Nothobranchius furzeri: one gene and its partner. The protein of the gene in region 1 interacts with the protein of each later gene in a pairwise test. Links are inferred from orthologs where the notes say so. Each region holds a gene or a part of one and is shown in the gene's direction. Other genes may lie near its edges.

Region 1 (4,242 bases):
GTACAAATTATAGAAGAAAGTAGTAGGGTGTGGAAAGTGGTCAGTATGCCCTCCAGCAGTCTAAGCCTATAGCAGCATAACTACAGAGATAACTCTGGATAACCTAGCCTTTTAGATGGAGGCATGTTGGAGTCAGGGCAAGGGAGAGCCGTCTTTACCGACTGTACACTCCACCTCCCTGTACTCCCCCACTTGTCCAGATCTGGGCTAACATCAGATTTTAACCATAGGCCCTATCAAATAAAAATGTTTTAAGCCTAGTCTTAAAAGTAGAAAAGATGTCTGCCTCAATGACTAAAGCTGGGAGATGGTTCTATAAGAGAGGAGCCTGATAGCTAAAAGATCTGCATCCCATGCTATTTTTAGATATTTTGGGAACCACCAGTAAACCTGCAGTCTGAGAGCGAAGTGCTCGGTTAGGAACATATGGAACAATCAGGCCACTGATGTATACTTTTAAATGTACTTTTAAACACTAAAGACTAAAAATATCAGTCCTACTGGTAAATAAAAGCTCAGTGAAGCATATGAAAGTTAAATGTATGAACCATGTGCACATGCAGCAACAAAACAGTAGAGGGTGAACAGTAATTGTCCCCATGGCAACAGAGGCTTCTGCATTAGGAGTGCTACCTCCTCTCTCCATGAGCTGAATCCAGCATAAGTGGAGAAAACAACACTGACCAAACACGGTCGCCCTCTTGTGCCTGTTTGGTGGTACTATATCTGGTTAACGAAACATTGGCAGATTTTGAAAGAAAACGATATATCTGTAATAAAACCATTTTTAATAATAATAAAAATCCCACCCATGTCCCTAACATCTTCATCATTTTGTTGTAATAAACATTGCTAATATCTCCCTTTTTGACTGAAAAATCCAGTTTAAATAAACCGAAATAACACGACTGGCGGAGCCTGTTAAGGCATGTTGAGGTTTAAACCTCTTCATTGTTCTTATTCATATAAAATCATTTTAGTTTAGTTTTTACATTTTATGTCATGTTTATTTTCGTACAAGAACTTCTCTTCTTAAACTTGTTTCTGGCCGGAAACCAACAGCAATGGTTCTGTTTCCAGGTGTTGTGCCGACATATGTTTCCCCGACGAGTTTCGTTCCGTTTCTCGTTGCTTTAATCAGGCGCGTTTAAAGTTTAAAGCCAAACGCTTAAACATACAAAAGATGATAAATAAATGGCCCTGATTAGTTTCTGTCCGTTTTAGAACATAAACCCTTTTGATTCATTCATATTGACATTGAAGCTTGTAGATTTGTCCATTACACACCACTCGTTACGAAAAAGAAAAAAACAAATAAATAAATTAAAAATAATGATAATAAAAACATCACTCGTTACGTCATCACGTTTATAATCCGTTTAATCCCACAAGGTCAGCTTTTAGCCGGAGAAACTCGGCCTGAGGTGGAGATCTCCCCGGGCGGGGACGGAACTCTACGAGGTGACACATTTCGACACAACACCATTGGGGTTCTGCGCTCATGCCTGCTTGTTGAAATGTTTCCCATCCGGAGAAAGGCTACAGCAGCGAGCCGGTAGTTCGCTCGAATCCATTCAGCAGATATTACTATTCTAACCGAAGTGAAACGAGGTGAAAATGAGTTCCGCTCCGCAGAAGAGGTCCTACGGGAAGCTGCCTGTGTGGATAGTGGAGGACCACCACGAAGTAAGGACGGGCTTTAGAATGAATACAGCAGCTGTCGCGACCATTGATAGCCTCTTCCACTTGTTTCTTGTGAACGTGATGTGATCGAAACGGGTGACTCGGTTCTAAAAATAAACTCATAAATGTTGTACGGAGTCCCTCAAAGACCAAAAAACAAACAAACAAACAAAAAAAACAACAACTGAGAAACGGTTTATAAACTTTTCTCCTTCCCTTTGTGAATTATATGACAGAGCTGCGCAACAATTAGGAATAGATGGTTTTATTGTTTTGGGGTAATCAAAGACGATTTTAGGCAACATGATAAAAGTGTGTGATCTACCAGCAGAGGCAGCTATTTGGAGCAGATTTCCTTTTTAGCTGAAATGACAGATTTACTTTATCATCTGTGTACCAACAAGGTGCTTTCTGGGATCCCATTCCTGCTGCTGCTGTAGTGATGATGGGAGAGGAGCCAGAAAGTGAGAGGCCCAACAGCCGTTCTTCATTTAGCCAAAGAGCAGTTCCGCGTCTTTATTTTTACAGGTTGGACAGGTTTCATATTGATGTAAATTTAAAGGGGCATGAAGTAAGAAAAATTATCCCGTGGTCAAATTTGGGTACTGCAGTTCAAATGTCAAAACAAACAAGTGCGCTCCGAGCAACTGTTGCCAGAGGACTGGACACTCCAGCCCACAATCTGACCAGGCTATTAATTAGTTTACTTCACACCTGCCCTACTGGAAACTGATCAACCAATCAGAGCTGACTATGGGAGAGTCACTGATTTCTCATGCCCACATTCTTTTTCATACAGTGTGTAAATGAAGCAACGTTGTGGCCAAAATGGTGCAGACATGTCTGTCAAATGGAAACAGGAAGTGGGTTGCTGGTTCAAACCCAGGCTGGAGGTGTTCGGATGGGCTGGTGGTGAATGTGTATGACACTTCCGTCACGATGGGGAAGGCTGTTTTCAGGTTGGCGTCCAGCAAACAGCAGAGTGTCTTGCCTAGTAGAAGCTAACTGTTAGCGTTAGCAACTCCACAACATGGCAGAACTCCTCCAGGCTTGTGTTGCAGAGCAAACAGAGTTTGGCCCAATCTCACTACTTGCACTGCACCCTGTGGTCTTCAGCAAAGTGTGCAGTAGGGTTCGAGTGCGTAGTGCACAAGTGTGCAAATAATTGTAGAATTGAGACAGGGAGCATTGCGTCACCGATCACAGCGCATGCCGGGATGCTGGTCGCTGTGATACTTTTTTCTAAAACCTTTATTAACAACTGTTAAATAAACAGCTATTTGAAATTAATTTACATTTATTGCTGCTTTGTCTAAAAGTTTTAGAGCATCTACTAATCATCCTAAAATTAAAGGGACATTATGGAAGTTTGACAGCCAAAACATGTATAGAAATAATAAATGTCTTCTTCATACATTCTCCTGCAATGCCCTGGTCCTGTAGAATGAGCCCTGGCATTTTTACTGTGATTGCCTGTTTTTCTGTAAAATCACAGAAAAAGAGAGCTGCTCGGGTCGAGCAGGCTGCTTCATGCGCGTTCACGCTCAGGCATCGCCCGTAGCATTTGCTATCCGTAGCTTTAACAGCAGAGAGAGAGGCAGTGCCACTTTGTCGCTGTTCCTAACGCCTAGTGACAAAGCTAGCTAAATTTCTGAGGACCCTTAGCTACTTTCTGTAGAACTTTCTTCTAGATATTTCCTGCAAATTAGCAACAAAATAGCCATTTTCACTCCAAACCGTTCTTTGAACGTTATTTCAGCTGTCATCAATGATATAAATGTTACAGATACAAAAGACGTCACTGGCGCTTTAGCTCACCTAGTTAGACGTCGGACTCTCGTGCAGAAGTCCTGGGTTTGATTCTGGATGTCAGCATAGTTGGTTTAGAGTCTCTATTTTACATTAATGGTATATTTTTTTTACAGTAAGATGCCCAAATTTTTATTTGAGACTCGCCGAACGGCATTGAATTCACAGATAAAAAAAGATGTGGGTTCAACTTTCATTTTGGAACAATTTTTCAAGCAAGGGAAGGGAATGATCTGAGCATGCAGGAGGACTGACCCATCTTAAACCTTTGTCGGCTGTGCTGAAGAGAAAGCTACAGAACCACATTATTTAATTAATTAGCTGCACGTTCTCCTGTCCTCTGTCCTCCGGGCCCCCCCCCCACACACACACACACACACACACACACACACACGGGACTGTCTCAGCTGTTATTTTCGTTAAGGAGTGTGCACGTACAGCATGCGCGCCTCGTGCACGAGCCTACTATTGAAGCTGCCGTTACGCTTTTGGCCTGAGGGGACAATCGCAAGCATAAAAATTCAAAACTCTGTAAAGTCCCTTTAAGTAATTTCATTAGAAAATACATATTTTTCCGAAAAGGAACTTGAGCCTTCTCTCCTGCAGCATTGACTTGTGGGTGATGCCCTTGCCCGAAGCCCACATCACTGCAGACTTCGGTGAAGTGCAGATTAAGGGTGCAATGGGGGCGTGGTCAACTTCCTGACTTGAAAATCGGGGGCACGCTACGCACTCGCACCGCTGGCCGGG
Region 2 (3,765 bases), on another chromosome or scaffold:
CTATGGAAATCTAGCCTGTATTTAATTACAAAATGTTCCCGTCACTCACTGAGCTGGAAAAGGAGAGAAGAAGTGCTGCACACAGGCCACCTCTGAGGGGAAGAAGAGGACCTCATTGAGGGTTCGTCTTCGCCTCAGCCGGCCAAAGAGCCTGGCCAGCAGCTCCAGGCTGAAGGAGAGCACCACAAACCCCAGGCTGACCATCTTGACGGCCTGCAGCACCGACATCTTCCAAAACAGTTAATCGAACCCTAAAACTGACCACATCAACACACAAAATGACTCAAGTATGAATTACAATATGACATCTTGTCTTGTGCCTACACATGGGCTGCAAAGGTTTTGTATCATTGAATCAACCTGTATCATTGAACCTTTCACAACATTGTGGACTGAATAAGTCCAACTTGTTGCTTAAAAATAAACACAAAATACTGAAAAATCGTCTGTAAAAAGTTGTAGAGTAGGACACGTCATTTCAGCAAGCGTCAATAACGCCAGTGTAAATTACGTCCGGGAATAATAGATTGTTTTTAATTGATGTTACTTTGACTAACGGCTTTTTCAATAAAAATACTAAAACTTTTACTAAAATCATGTGAAATTAAATTTGTTTACTTATTATATTAGTTCTAAGAGGCAACTTCTAATCTGACAAGCTAAAAATTAAACTAATCAGTGAAATATCATCAATTTTAGCTTTGTTAAGCTAGCGTTGTGAGGCTAATTTTCAGGTAAATTCTAACATAAAGTTGGTGTTTTTTCATTAGAACTACACAAAGACGAAGCTGTGACACATACCTCATAAAAACTAAAACTATTGAAGATCTTTGAAGGGTCACTAATAGTCAAAACGTCTACTAATTTTAAACACCTGTAGAGTTTCTGTCGCCGCCATGCGGAAACAGCGGTCTCAGGCTGTGTCGTCACCCTTTCTAAATGATTGACGTATCAGACAACCAATAGCTGACAAGTATGCTCAAGCTTTCTCCCAATCATCTGACTGGAACGGACAACAGAACTGGGTCCTAGCCCAACTCTCTGCTGGGTAGCAACGTGTGTTTCCAACTCAGGAAGGTAAACAAAGTTAAACTTTTACTAATTACCATTTAACTCTCGCCTCACGCTTTCTATGCGGTACCAATCGAAACTTAACCAAAAACAGTCTTAGTAAATATTCTACGTAGGTCGATTCGTTAGCTGAATGACGTCCACGTGACTCAAAACAAACATGCTAATGTTAGCATGCTAACTTACCGTCAGTTTTGTGGAGCAAGTTTGTGCCAAGTAGACGCGGTTTTTGGCTCAAACAACCAGACATATTTCCTCTCATTCGCTCGTGAGTTCTTGTGTAAGCGGATTGTCTTCTGCTTCTTTCAGAGTTGATGCTGTTTATGTGAAATGGGTCGCCGCAAATCCAAAAGAAAGCCTCCCCCTAAGAAAAAGATGACAGGGGACTTGGAAAATCAGTTCACCTGCCCATTTTGCAACCACGAGAAGTCATGTGATGTCAAAATGTAAATTCACCTGCCATCAAAACACAACTGTTGTAGTGATTTTTCATCTCTTTTAGGAGTCTGTTAATCTGATAGAGTTCCTTGAATTCCAACAGGGAAAGAAGCAGGAACACTGGGGTAATATCATGTTCCGTCTGCTTAGAGGAGTTCCAGACTCCCATCACCTGTATCCTTTCTCCCATCCGTAGGTGAAGTCTATTAATGGGCTGTCAGAGTTCATCTAACCAAATTATTAAATGAGCAATCTCTCATATTAACTAGATATATAACATTAGACCTAATTGTGGTTAATTTCTAGTGTAGTCAAGTAAAAATATTGATTTACTGTTTTAGACTTCAGAAGCTAAAGATCAACATGTTTATGGCTGTTGATAGTTACAACTATCAACAGAGAGCAGGAGCACAGGGTCACCCTCACAAGTAGCAGTGTACAGAGGACGAGGTAAAAATAAAGAAAATGTTATCCACAGTTCCATCTCCTGATTAATTCATGACACAGATTCAGAATTGTATTTTATCTGATGGAAACTGCTGGTTATTCTGTATTTGCTTTTAACTTTATTTCATAGAATTAGATTTCTTTGGTTTTTCCTTAATCTGTTACTCTTTAGATCTGTCTGAACCAGTTGATGTGTACAGTGACTGGATAGATGCGTGTGAAGCAGCCAATCAGTAGCCCTCGTAGAGTTAAATGCATCTCAGGAAAGCCGAGAAGAAGAGTGTGTGGCCGGTGGGGTGTGTCCACTCAACGCCACAGACTATTTCAGTTATGTCATTCAGAGGTTTAATAGCTCTGTGATCAAAATTTTACTTTATGGGGTCTTCAGCAAAACTGTGCTCAGAGTAATTTGTGAAATCCAAAGTTTTCCTCTTCTGTTGAAACAATTAGGCCCACAGCTGTAGCTTTAACTACATTTTTCCTTGTCAGGATAGTTTTTGTTTTGTCTCACAATCAGACGGGCTTTCTGTTTTTTTTTTTCTACATTATTGGATGAGTCTGCAATTAATGAAGAATTTCAAAAAAATAGTTTTAAAATACAAAAAAGTCCTAATTTATAGATTATTTGGGTTATTTTAAGCATAATAACCACAGCTTTATATGACAGATCTGTAAAGTAAGGAAAGAGGAAAATTTTGGTATTTTATTGTGAAATGCAAACTGTGCAAAACTCACGAGCAACAGGAAAAAGACCCATAAACAGGCAGAAGTTGATCATTCCAGAAACTTGAACAATGAGGTCCTACAGATGTGAACGCAGCAGCAGGATCTTCTTACCGTCTGCAGAGAATCAGCAGGAGGAAGTCGCTGGTTGCTGTCACATGGTTCTGTTAGATTAAGCTGCTTTTATACATATTGCCATTAATTCAAGTGTTTTTATGTTTGTTAAGAAATAACCTGTATTATCCATTTTCAGTCAAGCATGCTGGTGGTACTAACATCTCTACCTCTTCATAAGGAGTCGTGCCACAGTTTTAGTTCATCCCACTTCAAAAACAAATCCTTTAAATTTCATCTCAGCTGGAGGTTTTTACCAGCTTCGGTCTTTTCTTCACGCTAAATCAAAACACTTCAAGAGGAATAAAGCGTCTGCGCAGAAGAAAAAGTATTTTATTTCTTGAATTATGCCTATGAACCTGGCTCTGTGTACTGTTTTTGCTCTGTAATCATTTGTAAGACATCAACCAGAGTTTAAATTCTCTTAAACTGTAAAAGTAAGGAAATAAAGAATAAAATTCACTGAAGTGTTTTGTTTAATTATTTATATATATATATAAGACATTTGTTTTATTTTAGTAACCAAACAGAAACTCTGGTATGGGTCAGCATTTAAATAATGCCATCAAATAGTGATAATTATCAATATTTACTATTTTTAGTATTGCTGATATGGTCCTATAGCTTGGGGATTAAAGGTTTACGTTCCACAGGATTGATGTGCTAACAGCTAGTCTGAACACAACACAGAAATGTTGAGATTATGCTGTGTTGCTGCCACGGGTATTTTTACTACTGCAAATAGTATTTAAGCTAAATAGTACAACTTTTATAGAAGGATGTACAATAACAGGAGGAACAGCTGAGAATTTAGCTGTGATGTGAGCTGTTGGGCAGCAGAGATCCACTTTGATCTTGGCTATGTTCAGCGGTTAGCTTATCCCACCTCAAAGCTACTATAGCAAATCTATTAAACAAGCTATTAAACATAAACACGGTCACAAAACTCCCATCAGCGATCATCCCTAGGCC

The links.
Region 2: the proteins of c11h5orf22 (region 1) and transcription elongation factor 1 homolog interact in binary tests that used the Homo sapiens proteins (3 or more experiments, as listed by UniProt). The two-hybrid records come from large-scale screens. The link is inferred for Nothobranchius furzeri from reciprocal best matches to the Homo sapiens genes C5orf22 and ELOF1.

Annotation. Positions count from the first base shown.
Region 1 is NC_091751.1:66,270,445-66,274,686, forward strand, and holds the start of c11h5orf22 (UPF0489 protein C5orf22 homolog), read left to right. Parts: upstream 1-1,432; 5' UTR 1,433-1,617; coding exon 1,618-1,686; intron 1,687-4,242.
Region 2 is NC_091747.1:74,776,889-74,780,653, forward strand, and holds transcription elongation factor 1 homolog, read left to right. Parts: upstream 1-1,386; 5' UTR 1,387-1,401; coding exon 1,402-1,517; intron 1,518-1,612; coding exon 1,613-1,683; intron 1,684-2,128; coding exon 2,129-2,193; 3' UTR 2,194-3,255; downstream 3,256-3,765. Other genes in the region: pld6 (mitochondrial cardiolipin hydrolase), read right to left, coding at 50-228. UniProt on the Homo sapiens protein: Factor involved in transcription-coupled nucleotide excision repair (TC-NER), a mechanism that rapidly removes RNA polymerase II-blocking lesions from the transcribed strand of active genes.